Linked DNA regions of Sus scrofa. The protein of the gene in region 1 purifies or fractionates together with the protein of each later gene. This does not show direct contact. Links are inferred from orthologs where the notes say so. Each region holds a gene or a part of one and is shown in the gene's direction. Other genes may lie near its edges.

Region 1 (8,014 bases):
GGCTTCATGGGCCGAGCAGGTGTGCCTGGGTGCCCTCGGGCAGCCCGTGTCCTTGTGTGTGGCTGCGCCTCGGGACTTTGACATTGAGGCCGTTTCCTGGATTCTGCGGTTCGTAGGCCCAGGTCAAGTCAAGCTGAGGCCGCTGTGTGGCTCTCAGGGAGGCCTGAGGGCCATGTGGACAACTGGACTCCCTTGGGCCTGCCCAGCACGAGGGAGAGGCAGAGACGGGAGGGTGTGTCTGGGACAGCATCGGAAAGCTCGGTGCCCCCCGCCCTGCTGGGCCCAGGCTGGGCTCCACAGGGTAGGGCATCATTTAAGGGCATGTGATCCCAGCATGGACCTCGCTGGGCCATCCCATCTTCTCTGGGTCTGGCCTGCTTTGGGTGTTAGCATTGGGTATGTGAAAGTGTTTCGTTTTTAACTTGATTATTTTAATAAAAATCACTCAAGTCGCACATGCTCTGTCACAAACTGAAGCCAGCAGGGAGTGTGTGTCCAGGCATGTGCCCAGCCCCCCAGCTTGCTGCCCTTGGACCGTGATCCGGGCTGCATCCTGAGGGGTCTGACCCTGCTCCTGTGTCTGAGAGCCACTAAGCTGCCGAGACCCCTGTCCCGCTCAACGTGTTCTCCCAGCAGAGGCCGGGCCTCCTGGAGGACTTGCAGGACCTGGGTTCCCTGGCCTAGGAGGACAGTGGGCGGGCAGATCTGGGTCCTAAAGCATGAGTAGGAGCTCTTCAGGTCACCTGAGCATGTCTGGAATGTGGGGGAGGGAATAAGAGCAGTCTGGCAGATGGGGCTGGGACAGAGGGAGGGTTTGGGGTGACTTTGGAAAGTTCATCTTATCCCCCACCCCGATCTCTGGTTTGTGGGCTATTGGCCTCAGGGGACCCTTGGAGAGGATCAGCCTCCTTCTCCACCATACTAAGATCTACCTGCAGAGCTCTAGCTCTTATTTATTCTGTAAAGTCGCTTATTCAGTGGAATAAGTTTTCTCTGGGAGGAGCTGGTTAGTCATTCACACCTTAGTATAAACCAGAACTGGAGGCTCGTCCTGGATACCTAGTGGATGTAGTTGGAGGTTGTGGAGAGTGTAGGTCCTGGCTGGGCTGGGGCAGAAGCTGTCTCAGGAGAGGGGACTGTGAGGAGCGCCAGGTGAGCCTGGGCATCCTGCCCCAACCCCTCAGGCCACTGTGGGAGCCTGAGGTGTGGCCATAGCCACGTGCTCTGGGCCGACCCCCTCTCTTCCCCGTGGGCCTCTTTGACCAAAAGGGCGGCAAGTCCTGCACCCACTTCCCACTTTTCCTATGCAGGTCACAGCTATTGTGTCCTAGCAAAGCTGGGGAGGGTCTCTGGGCCTGGGGAGGGCTGGCCCGGAGGTGGGCCAGTGCTGGTGCAAGGAGGGGCTTGGCCTGGCCTTGGGGCCAAGGGGCAGAGGTTGAGGGCATTTGGTCACAGGTTTCTGCCACTAGGGCCGCTTTGCAGGTTCCAGGCCTGGCTGCTCTTGGCATGAAGCCATCTGTCTGGTGGTGGCCCTGGCCCCTTGGCGTCTGGGCTAGGAGCTCCAGTCTGTGGGGCCACCTGTCATGGTTTTGGGTGGCGTGGGGGTGCTGTGCTTGGCCTGGCCCAGAAGGCCCGCGGTCCCCCTCTACCGCTGCCGCTCAGCCCGCTGGGCTCGGGAAAGTCTAGACCTGTGACCCCCAGAGCCCGCGGCAGGTCGTGGAGGACTGGGACCCCTCACCCTGGAGCCTACTGCTGGTCAGGAGACAGTGAGGGGACAGATGAAGGCTCTGTGGGAGCTGAGGACCCCCAACTCATGGGGACACAGTTGGGGCCACCCGGTCGGGAAGGGCCGGCTGTGGTGTGCGGTGGCCTCTGGGGGCCCAGGGGTCCTCCTGGCCCCTGGCTTCGTTCCAAGGGCCCCACTTCGAGCAGATTCCTCACTGGGGCGAGTCTGCGAGGGCGGCAGGTGGGGCTGGGCATCCCAAGTTGGATGTTAACTGGGATCTCGCCAGGAACTCTGAGGTTGGGGGCAAGGTGCCAACAGGGGTGTCCCTGGGCAGCCAGCCCGAGGGTCAGTGCCTTCATCGACCACTGCTCCCGAGGCCTGCGCTCCTGCCTGCTGAGGCCCCACCCGGGAGGGAGCCCAGGGTGGTCTGGGGGCCTCTCCTGTGCACAGCCCAGGTCTCCCTGGATCCCACCCTGTCCCTCTTCCTGGCCATCGGCGGGGGTGGGCAGCACTGCGCACCCCGTACCCTTTTTCCTGGGGGCTTGGACACCTGCCCCCCCCTCCCTGCTGTCCCGGCCTAGCTGCCCCTCAGTGCCCCAACCTCCAGGGAGCAGGACGCTGTCCTGCGCAGGCTGGGAGGGGTGTTTCTTAGCCACAGAGGGCCGGCGAAGGGGGGCCTGGGAGGGGTGTGCCTGGGTGGGTGGGTGCGTGGAGGCTTCAGGCAGCTCTGGGGGATGGGCCATCTTGGGGTACTGGCTGCATGGGCAGTGGGGCCTTGGGGTGCTCCTGGGCCCCCCGGCCTGGGGTGCCTGCCTCAAGGGTGCCAGGCAGGCCCCAAGGATGAGTCACAAAGGGTGGGGGCGGGGGTGCAGCGGAGGTGGCTGGCTGGGCTCCCTGGGCCGTGAAGCGGGCACCAGGTCCCTCCTGGGTCTGTGGCTGCTTGGGTGCCCAGGAGGGCTTGCTGTAGTCCCTTGTATGTTGGCTGCAGATGGGCAGGACCCCAGGTGTCCCCAGGCCACCCAGGTCTTCCTGTGGTGACAGCTCTCTGTGTAGCTTTCTCGGTTGAATCTTGGACTGGTCCCGGACGTGGTGTGAGAGTGGGGCCGCAGGCAGGGTCTGCTCGTCACTAGGGAGAGGAGGGGTCCGAGGAGTGGCTCTTTTCATCTGCCAGGGTGTCCCCCTATTGTGTGTGTGTGTGTGGGTGGCCGGGGGCGGGGGGCAGGTGGTCACCGTAGCCCCCGGCAGTGCCCTCCCTCTCCAGACGGGCTCTGTCTGCTCCACATCCACTCTGCCCCAAGGGCCCTGCTCCCTGGTGGGAGGTGGTGTGTCAGCTCTGCGGGGGACTCCTGCCCTTGCTGCGGCCTGGGACCAGCCAAGTGGAGGGGTCCAGGCCCAGCAGGCTGTGAGGCTGTTTCCTGCCTGGTCTCTGGCTCTTCTTTCTGCACTGGGCCTCAGTCCCAGGTGTAGACGTCTGCACGCTGGGCAGGGCGGATTCCAGGGGGCAGGCGCCGGGGCCCTTCCCACTGCAGGCCCCGCCCTGCCTGCCCTGCTTCCCCCCCCACACCCCCCACCCCCGGCCTCCAGGAGGTTGCAGTACAGGATGTGCGGGGCCACGGCCATGGCCACAGCCTGCCCTGCCCTGCCCCACAGCCCCTCCCCTGCTGCCCTCCTCACTCCTTTGAACCTGATGCCTAGATCTCCTGAACCTGTTTCTGACCCCAGGGTCACTAGCGTCCTTCCCAGTGGGTGCTGCCCTGGCCCTCTGCGACCTGCCCTTCCCACCCCTCAAGCTCACCCGGCTGGGGCAGCATCGAGGGACAGGCCAGGGCTAGCTGCTGGGCAGTGGCTGGTGGGGCTCGCTGACCTCCAGGACCTGAGCCTTCTTGTGGGCCCAGCTGGCCCTAAGCCTACTTTTCCAGGTCTTGCATTGGGCTGGTGCAGTGAGTGGCATCTGCTTCTGTGTCCCTGGTCGCCGATGGGCATGCCTCTGAGTGTGTGTGCTTGTGGGTCCGTGTGCCGGGCACCCTGGCCTGCCTGGGTCTAGGGGTCCCTTTGTGCCGCGGCCCTCCGCATTGCGAACCGGGTGCTGTTCTGGGCCGGTGGGGCGGGCCCCGCCCTCCAGATCCACACTCCAGGGGCGCAGGCACCATGCAGGGTGGGTTGTTCCACGGAGCCCTAGGCTGTGATCTGCTGCTGGGGGGTCGAGTGTCTGTGCCCCCTGAGTCCTTGGAAGGATGCTGGAGTTTCCCAGGAAGGGAATGTGCTGGACCAGGGCGTCCACAGGGACTGACCTCTGGGCCTGTGGCTGGACGCCCCAGGTGGCACATGCCCCAGGCCAGCTGGGGGCCTTACTCCAGCGCCTGCTGGCCACAGACGGGGCAGCCCCCAGGGTGGCAGCTTCACGACTGTCTGCCCACAGGGTGGTGAAGGAGGAGATCTCTGACGATAATGCCAAGCTGCCCTGCTTCAACGGCCGTGTGGTCTCCTGGGTGAGTCTGCAGGGGCTGGACACCTGTGCCCGGGGCCCTGCCGGGGTGGCCTGGAAGCCTCGTCCCTGAGTCCTCGCTCTCCTCTGCAGCTGGTCCTGGCTGAGGGCGCACACTCGGATGCGGGGTCTCAGGGCACTGATGGCCACGCGGACCTGCCCCCACCTCTTGAGCGGACGGGTGGCATCGGGGACTCCCGGCCCCCCTCCTTCCAGTAAGGACTCTGGGGGGTGGCGCTGAGCCCAGTGGTCCTGAGGGACCTGCCAGGCCTGTTGGGGATGGAGAGGGGCAGCAGAGCAGGGGCCTGTGGTCAGCAAGCGCTGGTCAGCAGGGGCCCAGAGCGGGCTGGGGGGTGGATGGGGGCCCTTGCCAGAGTTGGAGTTCCACCAGATGAGGGAGGAAAGGAGCTGAGGGCATCCACGGCCCGGCCTGCCCCACCCTGCCTTCCTCTTGGCGCAGCCCGAACGTGGCCAGCAGCCGCGATGGGATGGACAACGAGACTGGCACAGAGTCCGTGGTCAGCCACCGGCGGGAGCGAGCTCGCCGCCGGAACCGTGAGGAGGGTAATTAGGCCACACCTTTGACCTCCCTGGGCCCCTGGGGGGCACCCCAGGCCCCTGCTGTCCAGTGGGGTCCCTCGGTGGAGGTTCCTGACTCAGCTGACAGGATCCTAGCGACCCCCCCTCTGCAGCAACCCCAGCAACAGGTGCTCCAGGGCACCCCGCAGCCATCTCCCCTCCCTGCTGTGCCCACAGCTGCCCGGACCAACGGGCACCCGAGGGGGGACCGGCGGCGGGATCTGGGGCTGCCCCCCGACAGCGCGTCCACTGTGCTGAGCAGCGAGCTCGAGTCCAGCAGCTTCATCGACTCGGACGAGGACGACAACACCAGTCGGTGGGCATGGGCGGGTGTCCAGGCGCGTGCGGGTGTCCGTGTGCCCACGAGCAGGGGCCGGGCCGGCTGCCTCGTGTCTGCCGAGCCGTGGGGCTCCTGTTGCGGGAGCAGGGGCTGAGCCCGTTCCGCAGCGCGTCCCGCGCGGGCTTCCCTGGGGTGCGTGCAGGCGGAGAGGCTGCCGGCGCCCTGACCCTGTGCCCCCGCAGGCTGAGCAGCTCCACCGAGCAGAGCACCTCGTCCCGGCTCATCCGGAAGCACAAGCGGCGCCGGCGGAAGCAGCGCATGCGCCAGACGGACCGCGTAGGTGGAGGGGGTGCGGGCCGCTCTGTCCCCTGGGGCCGCCGCGCCGCCCGCAGCCCCTCACCCAGGGCCGCCCCCGCAGGCCTCCTCCTTCAGCAGCATCACGGACTCCACCATGTCGCTGAACATCATCACCGTCACGCTCAACATGGGTGAGGCCTCTGCCGCCGCCGCCGCCAGAGGGGCCCGGGGCTCGGGGGCGGGGGGCGCTTGTTCACACACCCGGCCCCGCAGAGAGGCACCATTTCCTGGGCATCAGCATCGTGGGCCAGAGCAACGACCGGGGCGATGGCGGCATCTACATCGGCTCCATCATGAAGGGCGGGGCTGTGGCCGCCGACGGCCGCATCGAGCCGGGCGACATGCTGCTGCAGGTGTGGGGCTGCCAGGGGCCGCGGGGAGGGGCGGGCGAGGTCTGCACCCCCCACCACTGTGCTGACCCCCCGCCCCAGGTGAATGACGTCAACTTCGAGAACATGAGCAACGACGACGCCGTGCGGGTGCTGCGGGAGATTGTGTCCCAGACGGGGTGAGGCGCGCGCGTGGCGGGGGGAGGGGGTGCTGCTTGGGGCCTCGCCGGTGTGACCCGCCCACCCCGCAGGCCCATCAGCCTCACGGTGGCCAAGTGCTGGGACCCAAGCCCTCGGAGCTACTTCACCATCCCGAGGGGTGAGTGACCCCCCCGGGGCTGGCGGGGCAGGGCGGGGGCGGGGGCGGGGGCGCCCAGCCCAGCCTGAAGGGCCTCTCTCCCTGTGCTCCTGTGCCCCTGTGCTCTGCCTTCTTCCCCACTGTCCATTCGTCTGTCGCCACACGGTGGCTGCCCAGCTGACCCGGTTCGGCCCATCGACCCGGCCGCCTGGCTGTCCCACACGGCGGCGCTGACCGGAGCCCTGCCCCGCTACGGTACGAGCCCCTGCTCCAGCGCCGTCACGCGCACCAGCTCCTCCTCACTAACCAGCTCTGTGCCCGGCGCTCCGCGTAAGTGGCGGCTCCTGAGATCAGAAAACGGAGGCACCCGTGAGGGCCCAGCCGAGGCGCCTGCCTGGCACGGCCACCCCCGAGGGCCATCCCGGCTTGAGCGTTGGTGCTGGTGCCAGGCCCACGAGGGCGGACACTGTACCCTGGGGTCACGGACACATGGGCGCCCACGCTCGCACCCTCTTCCCAGCCCTCTGTCTGTAGTGGGAGGGAAGGGCCTGGGGGGCCGGGCCGGGCCTGCCCAAGGGTCTGCTATCTGGCAGGGGCAGGCGGCATCCGTGTGGCCCTCACGCTGCTTTTCTGCCACTAACATGACTAATAGGCCCAGCTTGCGGGGAAGGGGGTGGAGGGGGTCTGGTCTCCGCCCCGTGGGGTCCGGTCTGCAGGGCGGGGGTGGCCTCGCCTGGTTGGCCACAAGACCTGGTGAAGCATCTCCCTGTTGGAGATGAGGCCCCACCCTCCCCGCCCCAGGCCGCTCCCTGACCCTGTGCGGGCGGTCGGGTGGGTGGTGGAGGGTCCTTGCGGCCGTGCTCGCGGCTGTGCTCCCGGCCGTGGCTGAGCGCGGGGTGTGCCTTGCAGAGCTGGAGGAGGCGCCCCTGACGGTGAAGAGTGACATGGGTGCTGTCGTCCGGGTCATGCAGCTGCCGGACTCGGGCCTGGAGATCCGCGACCGCATGTGGCTCAAGATCACCATCGCCAATGCCGTCATCGGTGCGGGGCCCTGGGCAGCGGGGGGCTTGGGGGCGGTGGGGCGCGGCCCAGGCTCCCCACCTGACGCCTGACGCCGGCTGCGCCAGGGGCGGACGTGGTGGACTGGCTGTACACGCACCTGGAGGGCTTCCGCGAGCGGCGGGAGGCGCGCAGGTACGCCAGCAGCATGCTGAAGCGCGGCTTCCTGCGGCACACGGTCAACAAGGTCACCTTCTCCGAGCAGTGCTACTACGTCTTCGGGGACCTGTGCAGCAGTGAGTGGGGGCCACGGGCAGAGGGCCCCGGAGGACCCGCCCGCCTCCCCTTACCTGCCCCCCCTCCTGCAGATCTCGCAGCCCTGAACCTCAACAGCGGCTCCAGTGGAGCCTCCGATCAGGACACGCTGGCCCCGTTGCCCCACCCGGCTGCCCCCTGGCCCCTGGGCCAGGGCTACCCCTACCAGTACCCGGGGCCCCCGCCCTGCTTCCCACCCGCGTACCAGGACCCTGGCTTCAGCTACGGCAGCGGCAGCGCTGGGAGCCAGCAGAGTGAAGGTGAGGGCCCGCCGGCCAGCGTCCAGCTCCCTGCCTGCCCACCTGGCTCTGCCCTGTTGCCCACCCCCTCCCCGCCCCCCGCCCTGTGCGCTCCCACCTGCTCTGTGCTCGGGCCCTGGGTGGCTTCTTCTGGAAGGGGTGAGTGGTTAGAAGCTTCAGGGGTTGGGGGGGGGCGCTGGTGTTCCAGACGTGGCAGAGGCCGAGGCAGGAGGTGGTGTGGGAATGGGGGCTGGGGGTGTGGGGGGACATGCGGGGCCCTGGGACGTAGTGGAGGACAGACACCTCCCCCGGCCCCCTGTGGTGGCCTGGAACCAGCAAGGGGCAGTTTCGCAGACACACGCGGCCTGTGGCGGAGATGCGTGGGGAAGTGGGGCAGAGGTGGGGGC
Region 2 (8,014 bases), on another chromosome or scaffold:
CAACAGTTTCCCGGGGCCCCCAGCCCCTCATCCCTGCAGAGCGTGGGGCTGGGACGGAGACACTGGTCGGGTCTCTGCTGGGGCGACTCCCAGCCACGCCCGTGAGGTGCGCGTCCCCTGGGTCCGTGCCCCTCTCCCCATCTGTCCTCTTTGGCGGCTCGTCCACGTGACACGCTGCCGCTGTGCAGGGCCGAGGAGCTGGGCGGTAGACCTGTGGAGACCTGTTCGTGCTCATCCAGGGCGGCTTTGTCTCCCGGTCTCTCAGTCGTGACCGTCTCACTCCGCATGCTGGTGGGGGCGAGCCCGCGAGACAGGAATCCCAAACAGGTGTCCCTTCAGGAATTACAGCAATCACACATTCCTGTGTACAGATATGGGTGTGGTCACTGTTTGAGTCCAGGGAAACCACTGGCTCAGGGTGAGAATTGGAGTTCCCATCGTGGCGCAGCGGAAACGCATCCGACTAGGAACCATGAGGTTGGGGGTTCGATCCCTGGCCTCGCTCAGCGGGTTAAGGATCCGGCGTGGCTGTGGCTGTGCTGTAGGCCAGCAGCTGTAGCTCCGATTGGACCCTTAGCCGGGGAAGCTCCATGTGCCCCGAGTGCGGCCCTTTTAAAAAAAGACGAAAAAGAGCTCATCTGTCGATGGGCATGATGGAAGATACGGCCGTGAGATTGAGGAGTAGGAAAACTCAAAAACAGTGCAGTTTTTATTGAGGCATCGGAGAAAGCAGAGGCAGGGCCCAGCTTCCTGGCGGGCTTCTGGGCCTGTGGCTTCGTGCCCCTCCTGGGCGCCCTCCTGCCGCGCAGCCCACCCACAGCCCTGCCGCATGCGAGGGACCCTGGCCTGGCCCCGCCTAGTCCTGGCCTCTGCTGGTCTGGTGTTTGTCTCCTCAGGTGTGGGACTTCTACGGTGTGGGCAGTGCCAAGAGGTGACGCGCAGCCTTGTCCCCACAGGAGGAGGAAGGCGAAGGTGGTGATGTGTCCTCTGCCCCCCCAGGGGCCAGTCACAAGCTGCCTGCGGCCCCGGCCTGGCACCACTTCCCAGCGCGCTACGCGGACGTGGGCTGCGTGGGGCTGCGGGACGCGCACGAGGAGAACCCCGAGAGCATCCTGGACGAGCACGTGCAGCGGGTCATGCGGACACCGGGCTGCCAGTCGCCAGGACCCGGCCACCGCTCCCCGGAGAACTCGCACATGCCCAAGATCGGGGTGCTGGGGGCCGCGGTGCCCGGACACGGAAAGCACGCGCCCAAGTTGGGGGTGAAGCTCGACGCAGCTGGCCTGCACCTCCACAGACACAGCCACCACCATGGCCACCATGGTGCCGCCAGGCCCAAGGAGCCGGCCGAGGCCGAGGCCTCCCGCCGGGTCCAGAGCAGCTTCGCATGGGGCCCGGAGCTGCACGGCCACGCGGCCAAGCCCCGCAGCCACTTGGAGAGCCTGGGGACCCCTCTCAACACCGGTGACAGCCTGGCCTACAGGTGGGTGTCTGCGGCAGCCCGCACGTGGGGACAGGCCAGGGCTGTGCTCACGTCGTCCCGTGTCGGTGTCGGCTCGAGGCCTGAGGCCGTGTGTCCTGTGGACCCTGTGCCAGGGTCCACGCCGGATTCCCCTGTAACAGTCCTTAAACTGAGGTCAGCCCCAGAGGCTGCATTAAACCCGTGTGCCCGGGCGTCCTGATCCCTGGGCTTCCGCCTCGAGTGTGGTGGGATCAGATGCGCCCAGTGCCGAGGGCCTGCCTGGGTGAGGAGGTGGCCGGGCCCTGGCTGCTACCACCTTGGCTCCAGCCCTCCCAGACGGTGCTGCTGGACCCTTCCTTCCCTCCCCGCCGTCGCATCCAGCCCGCGGCGCTGTCGAGGCCTCTGCCCTTTGGGTCCCCCTCCCCCCACCATACGGCTCGCAGCAGCAGCAGGCCAGCGGACGGCAGCGGTGGCCCGGGTCTTGCTCTTGCAGCGGCAAGGCAGGCATGACCTCCAAAAGAAGCGCCAAGAAGGCCGAGTCAGGGAGGAGTGCCAGCGCAGAGGCACCGGGCCCCTCCGAGGATGCGGAGAAGAACCAGAAGATCATGCAGTGGATCATCGAGGGCGAGAAGGAGATCAGCAGGCACCGGAAGGCTGGGCATGGGTGAGGGGGCGTGGCCGAGGGGGCCTGGGTGAGAGGGCACAGCTGAGGGGGGCCCCCTGCCAGCAACCTGACCAGCTGGTCTAGCCACGGGCCACGGGCCGTGGACACGAGAAACCTGTAGAATGGGGCCCGGTCCGTGGTAGCCTTAGGGTGGTGCCTTCCTGTGGGGGCGGGATCGTCAGGGAGCTTCAATGTCTGTCCCCGCTGCCACCCACCTACCTCGAGGCCTGCCAGGCAGGGGCTGCTGCCACCTGGATGCCTTCCGGGTCTGACCTGCTTATCCCTGGCAGCTGGGGGCCGGTTCTCATCTGCTCTTTGATCCTCTGGGCTCTGTGTGGTCAGTCTCGGTGTCACCCCCGTCCCCATCACGGGGGGGATGGGGGCCCGAGGCTGCTGGAGTCTCCCCTTGGTGGGCAGGCCATCCGACTCCCACAGGCAGATGCCCTCTGCCCTCCCGGGCACGGCTGGGGAGGCCTCAGTGGTGCATGAGGCAGGCGAGTTGGACCCGGGGTCCCTGATCTTGCCTGCAGGCGACCTGGAAATGAGCCCTCTGCCAGTGTCCAGACGCTTTGCAGCCGTGCTGCTCGGGGGCCCACTCTGGGAGCCCCTCCTCGTGGGGTTGGGTGGGGTGGATTCTCAGCCTCTGATGTTCACCAGGGGTGGCTCTGTCCTCGCAGCGCCTACTGCATGGAGAGTTTCTAGGGGACAGAGCAGGAGTGGAAGGGTCTCCCGGCTTCGGCAGCCTCCTGCCCTCTGCGTGGCTGTGGACCTGGGGGGTGGCAGCGTGGGGACCAATGGCCCTGGGCGGGGAGGGAGGAGCAAGGAGCCAGGGCCAGGGGCTGGGCTTCCTGTGGGGCTTTTTGGAGTCCGCCCCCAGCCTGAGGCGGTTTTGGTGTCACAGGGGCACTGGCGGCCCCTTCCTGGGATTCTCTTTTTTTTTTTTTGTCTTTTGTCTTTTTAGGGCCACACACATGGAGGTTCCCAGGCTAGGGGTCCAATCGGAGCTGTAGCCACCGGCCTACGGCACAGCCGCAGCAACACAGGATCCGAGCCGCATCTGCAAGCTTCATCACAGCTCAGGGTAACGCCGGATCCTTCACCCACTGGGCGAGGCCAGGGATCGAACCCGCAACCTCATGGATACTAGTCGGGTTTGTCACCCTCTGAGCCACGACGGGAACTCCGGGATTCTCTGGTTTTTGCTCCCGGTGCTAAGCTTGCTTTCCGAGGCCTCCGGGCTCAGCTCAGAGAAGCCGCTGTTTCCCCTCAGATCCCCCTAGTGGGCGAGCAAGGGCCGGTCACCCAGGTGCAGCCTGTTCTCAGTGTCTGATAAAGGAGAATGGGCAGCACGTTGAGGGAAAATCAGGGAATTGATAGGTGCAGAATTATGTCAACTATGTCGGGGGTTTTTGGGGGGGCCCTTTTGTTTGAGGGCCGCACTTGCGGCCTATGGAAGGTCCCAGGAATTTCCCAGCTGTAGCGAATTGGAGCCACAGCTGCCGGCCTCCACCACAGCTGCCGGCCTCCACCACAGCTGCCGGCCTCCACCACAGCTCACGTCAACACCAGATCCTTAACCCAGTGAGCGAGGCCAGGGATCGAACCAGCGTCCTTAAAGATGCTAGTCGGGTTCGTTAACCATTGAGCCACGACAGGCACTGCCCGGTGAAGTTTTTTTTTTTTTGTCTTTTTGCCCTTTCTGGGGCTGCTCCCGTGGCATATGGAGGTTCCCAGGCTAGGGGTCGAATCGGAGCTGCATCCACCGGCCTACGCCAGAGCCACAGCAACACGGGATCCGAGCTGCGTCTGCAACCTACACCACAGCTCACGGCAACGCCGGATCCTTCACCCACTGAGAGAGGCCAGGGATCGAACCCGCCACCTCATGGTTTTTAGTCGGATTCGTTAACCACTGCGCCACGACGGGCACCCCCCGGTGAAGTATTTTTAACAAGGAAAGAAATACACTAAATATTCCAAGAGTGGCAATTTCCAAATTGATTTGTTTTTTCATCGACTTTCCCGCATGCAGGAGGCAGGAGGGGACGGTGTTTGCATGGGATGCAGTTTACAGTTCAGTAACGCTCTTAAACCCAGTAGGAAACCGGTGTCGGGAACGCGCTGTGTGCCGGGCGTGCTGGAGGCCGGGGCACGGGCTTAGGCAGCTGCCTCATCTTCTCTCTGACCCCGCAGGTCGTCTGGGGCAAAGAAGCAGCAGGCCCATGAGAGCTCCAGGCCCCTGTCCATCGAGCGTCCTGGGGCCGTGCACCCTTGGGTCAGCGCCCAGCTCCGCAACTCCGTCCAGCCCTCGCATCTCTTCATTCAAGACCCCACGATGCCGCCCAACCCGGCCCCCAACCCCCTGACGCAGCTGGAGGAGGCCCGCCGGCGTCTGGAGGAGGAGGAGAAGCGAGCCAGCAAGGTGCCCTCCAAGCAGAGGTACGGGCCTCAGGGAGGGCAGGGGCTGCCTGTCCGGCTCCCCCCGACCCCCGTGCCGTGGCGCTGCGACGCTGTGGCCCCGCTTCCTGGGTGACGCTCCCGGGGCCTGCGGCGTGTGTCGGGGCTGGGGAGCGAGGGGAGCCTCCCCGAGTCACTGCTGCCCTGTGAGGGCGCTCACTGGCCTTCACCCTGCGGCTCCGAGGTTGCGGTCAGACCACCAGGGGCTGCTGAGCCGGCCGAGCTCACAGGGTGGTCCCTGAACGGGCCGTTCACGTGCACGCGGGCGTCCTGTTGGGGCAGGTGTCTGTGCTGAGACACGTAGGGCCGTCGCATTTAGAGAGACACCGCCTTCCTCCCTTCCCTTCTCCGCCTGCAGGGCCGGGCGGTGGGCCTGGCTGCTGTGTCACCCTGCCAGGCCGTCTTCTCCCCCTGAGGGAGCCGGGGGCCCCCCCTTGGTGGGGGCATATTGTTCCTCCAGGCTGGACCCTCTCAGCTGGGCCTTGAGGTCCCTTTCCTGGGAGGGGCCGGGCAGCCTGGGCAGTGGGGTCGTAAACCTGCGGCCACTGCTGCTCAGGCCTCATTGGCTCCCCTCGCGCCGACTCCTGTCAGCCGGACCTCTGGCTCCAGCCTCACTGTGTGGACCGCCCTGCTCTGGGGACGCCAGCGTCCATCTCAGGCACAGCCAGAAGCAGGACGTGTACCCCAGCTTGTCAGAGGCACCCACATTTACTGCCGCTGTCTTATCCCGGGGTCTTCTGTCGGTGCAGAGCCCGGGGGCCGCCCCCATCTGACAGGCCTGCGCGCTGGAGGCAGGCAGGGCGCCAGGGCTGGGACGCAAGGACCTCCTCTGTGCAGCATGTCCTCTCTGGCCCGCGACACCGAGCTGAGCCACATACGGGTCGGCCCAGGGCATGCGGGCCTTTGGCCACTGGCTACAGACCCAGAGCAAAGGTCGCCGGGCCTCCTCATGGGGCGGCCCCCCCAGGCTGATCACGTAGAAGTCACCTCAAGGCCACGTCAGCCGGGGTGGACGGCCCCGGGGAGAGGAGCGGCTGGGCGGCGTGCCCTCCAGATGCCGCAGAGCCCGGGTCTGCGTGGAGCGCGGCATGGGAAGAGCCACTCCTCGGGCCGAAGCGGCAGCCCCCCATGAAGGCCGAGGCCCCCGGCGTGCGTGTGGACGAGCAGCTCCGGGAGCCCGAGGTCCGCTCTGGATGGACGGGCGCGTGTTGGTGTGGATGCACCCGAGGAGCCCAGCGTTCTCAGCCCTGCTCCAGCAGCCACGTCCTGGGCGCCTCCCGTGCGGGAGCCCTGCCCGAGCCGGCTGACCTGCGCCTGCCGCCGGTTCACTGGCGCGTTGTTCCCTAGGTATGTGCAGGGGGTCATCCAGCGGGGGCGCTCGTGCGCCAGGCCAGCGTGCACGCCCGTGCTGAGCATGGTGCCAGCGGTGTCCGACCTGGAGCTCTCCGAGGCAGAGCACGTGCGCTCCCCGCCGGTCCTCCCATCCTGCCCACCCTGCCCCGCTGGCCAGGCCCGGCAGTGGCATGGCTCTGCCCAGAGGGCAGCTCGGGCACGTCGCCCGAAGAGCCGGGGCTGCAAGTTGCGTCTCTGCCGAAGGAACCGCCGACTGTCCACGTGGTGACACGCCACCACTGGGCCGGAGAGGAGGGCCGCACTCCTCCTGCTCCCCCGCCACATGTCCCCCACCAGGCCTTGCGACACGCTGGGCTGCCACCTGTCTGGCCTGCCGGGGTCAGGGCTGCAGCCGGGGCGCCCCTGGCACACAGCCGCCCGAGGTGTCCTCATCGGGCACTTTGCACACAGCGACTGGCTCTTTCTCACGTGGGCCAGGCTGGGTCTCAGGGAGCCACGTGCTGTGTGTAGACAGGGCCGGCCACTTCGTCCCTGCCCTGGTGCTCGAGACGGAGCAGAAGGCGGGTCCCTCCTAAGCCCTCGCCAGGCTCACCCCTGACAGCACGTCGTCCCGTCCAGCCGCATGCACACTGCAGGGGTCTCTGCGTCCCCTTCTGTAGACAGTGAACTGCTCCAGAGCCCCCAGTGGGCTCCCGGGACAAGCTGGGTTTGAGGCTGCCGGCTGAGAGAAGGGATTCAGGTGCCTGGGAACCCGGCCCGAGCAGTGGGTGGCCACACGGCTGAGGTGACTGCTTGCTGTGTGCGCAGGAGGGCTGGGGGGCCAGGAGAGTGGAGCCCGCTGTGAGCTCAGGTGGCCTTCCTCAGGTGACGCTGGCAGTGCTGGGCGGGTACAGGACGAGGGGTGCTGCCTCCGCCGGTCAGGGTGAAGGTCCCCCCAGCCCGGGAGGGGACGGCACGGTGGCCTCACGTTGCTGTCCCGAAGCATGGCCGGTTACTGTGCCTGGTCTGGGACAGGTTCTCCGCTGAGGGGCAGATCTGTCTCAGTTCTGTTGGTCCAGTCCTGGCCTTGACGCGTTTTCTAGGCTTCAGGGCTGCAGGCCTTCCCAGGGTGCCAGCACTGTAGCCTGGCCTAGGCTGGGGACCCCGGCAGTTGCTGTGGCCAGGCCACCTCGACACGCCTGGCCCAGGCCTCCGCTCTGGGTGCCAGCGCTGGGTACGGGTCTGCCTCTGGTCAGCTCAGGCCACCCTGAGACCAGGGCCTCGCGCTGGGCAGGCCGCCTGGCTGGTTAGACGCGCTCCAGGCGGGCCACAAGCTGCTGTCCGCGCGTCAGGGCATGTGGATTGGCTGGCGTAAGCCTGGAAACCTGGGTTGAGGCAGGCGCAGGGCGAGTCCCTGGGGCTGGATGTGGCCGTGTGGGCTGGGTGGGCCCTGGAGCTTGTGGACGGGTTGTGTGTCTGAGCATGGTGCCTCTCCCCTGCAGGCCCTGGAAGCCTGGGTGCCCGGGGGACACCGGGCCCAGCAGTCACCACCACTTCTCTGCCCCCAGGACGAAATCGCAGAGGAAGGCAGGCGGAGGGAGTGCCCAGCCGTGCGATAGCATCGTTGTGGCCTATTACTTCTGTGGGGAGCCCATCCCCTACCGGACCCTGGTGAGGGGCCGCGCGGTCACGCTGGGCCAGTTCAAGGAGCTGCTGACCAAGAAAGGCAACTACAGGTGAGAGGTTGGGATGGGCCCCGTGCTGGGCAGGCATCCCCACGAGACAGCGCCATGCGCTCCCATCTCCCCACGTCCTTGTCTGCACCTCCCCCGCTGGCCCCCCTGCGGGCTGTTGGCACGAGCCCCGTGATGGGCGAGGCGTGTGTGGGTGGCTTCGGGGCTCTGGGTCTCAACTCCTGGCCCAGGTGACGGAGGGTTGGGAGGGTGTGTTGGTCCCCCTGCTCGTGTGGCCCGAGTGGTCCCGCTGTCAGGCCTGTACCTGGCCTGTCCTCCGCAGAAGCCAGGTCCCTTCCTCGGGCTCCGCCCTGGGCTGCCGGGCCCTGCTGGCCTGAGATTGGCCTCTGGAGGAGAAGCGGGGCC

What was found.
Region 2: the proteins of DVL1 (region 1) and AXIN1 purify together in Homo sapiens (affinity purification with western blotting; 3 studies listed by BioGRID). This does not show direct contact. The link is inferred for Sus scrofa from reciprocal best matches to the Homo sapiens genes DVL1 and AXIN1.

What each region holds. Positions count from the first base shown.
Region 1 is NC_010448.4:63,619,856-63,627,869, reverse strand, and holds part of DVL1 (segment polarity protein dishevelled homolog DVL-1), read left to right. Parts: intron 1-4,145; coding exon 4,146-4,215; intron 4,216-4,304; coding exon 4,305-4,426; intron 4,427-4,671; coding exon 4,672-4,775; intron 4,776-4,967; coding exon 4,968-5,106; intron 5,107-5,312; coding exon 5,313-5,406; intron 5,407-5,488; coding exon 5,489-5,558; intron 5,559-5,640; coding exon 5,641-5,780; intron 5,781-5,858; coding exon 5,859-5,935; intron 5,936-6,007; coding exon 6,008-6,075; intron 6,076-6,231; coding exon 6,232-6,384; intron 6,385-6,963; coding exon 6,964-7,095; intron 7,096-7,181; coding exon 7,182-7,628; intron 7,629-8,014. UniProt on the Homo sapiens protein: Participates in Wnt signaling by binding to the cytoplasmic C-terminus of frizzled family members and transducing the Wnt signal to down-stream effectors. Plays a role both in canonical and non-canonical Wnt signaling.
Region 2 is NC_010445.4:41,384,937-41,392,950, forward strand, and holds part of AXIN1 (axin-1), read left to right. Parts: intron 1-956; coding exon 957-1,483; intron 1,484-1,955; coding exon 1,956-2,126; intron 2,127-4,319; coding exon 4,320-4,565; exon of another isoform or gene 4,566-5,930; coding exon of another isoform or gene 5,931-6,038; exon of another isoform or gene 6,039-7,483; coding exon 7,484-7,651; intron 7,652-8,014. UniProt on the Homo sapiens protein: Component of the beta-catenin destruction complex required for regulating CTNNB1 levels through phosphorylation and ubiquitination, and modulating Wnt-signaling.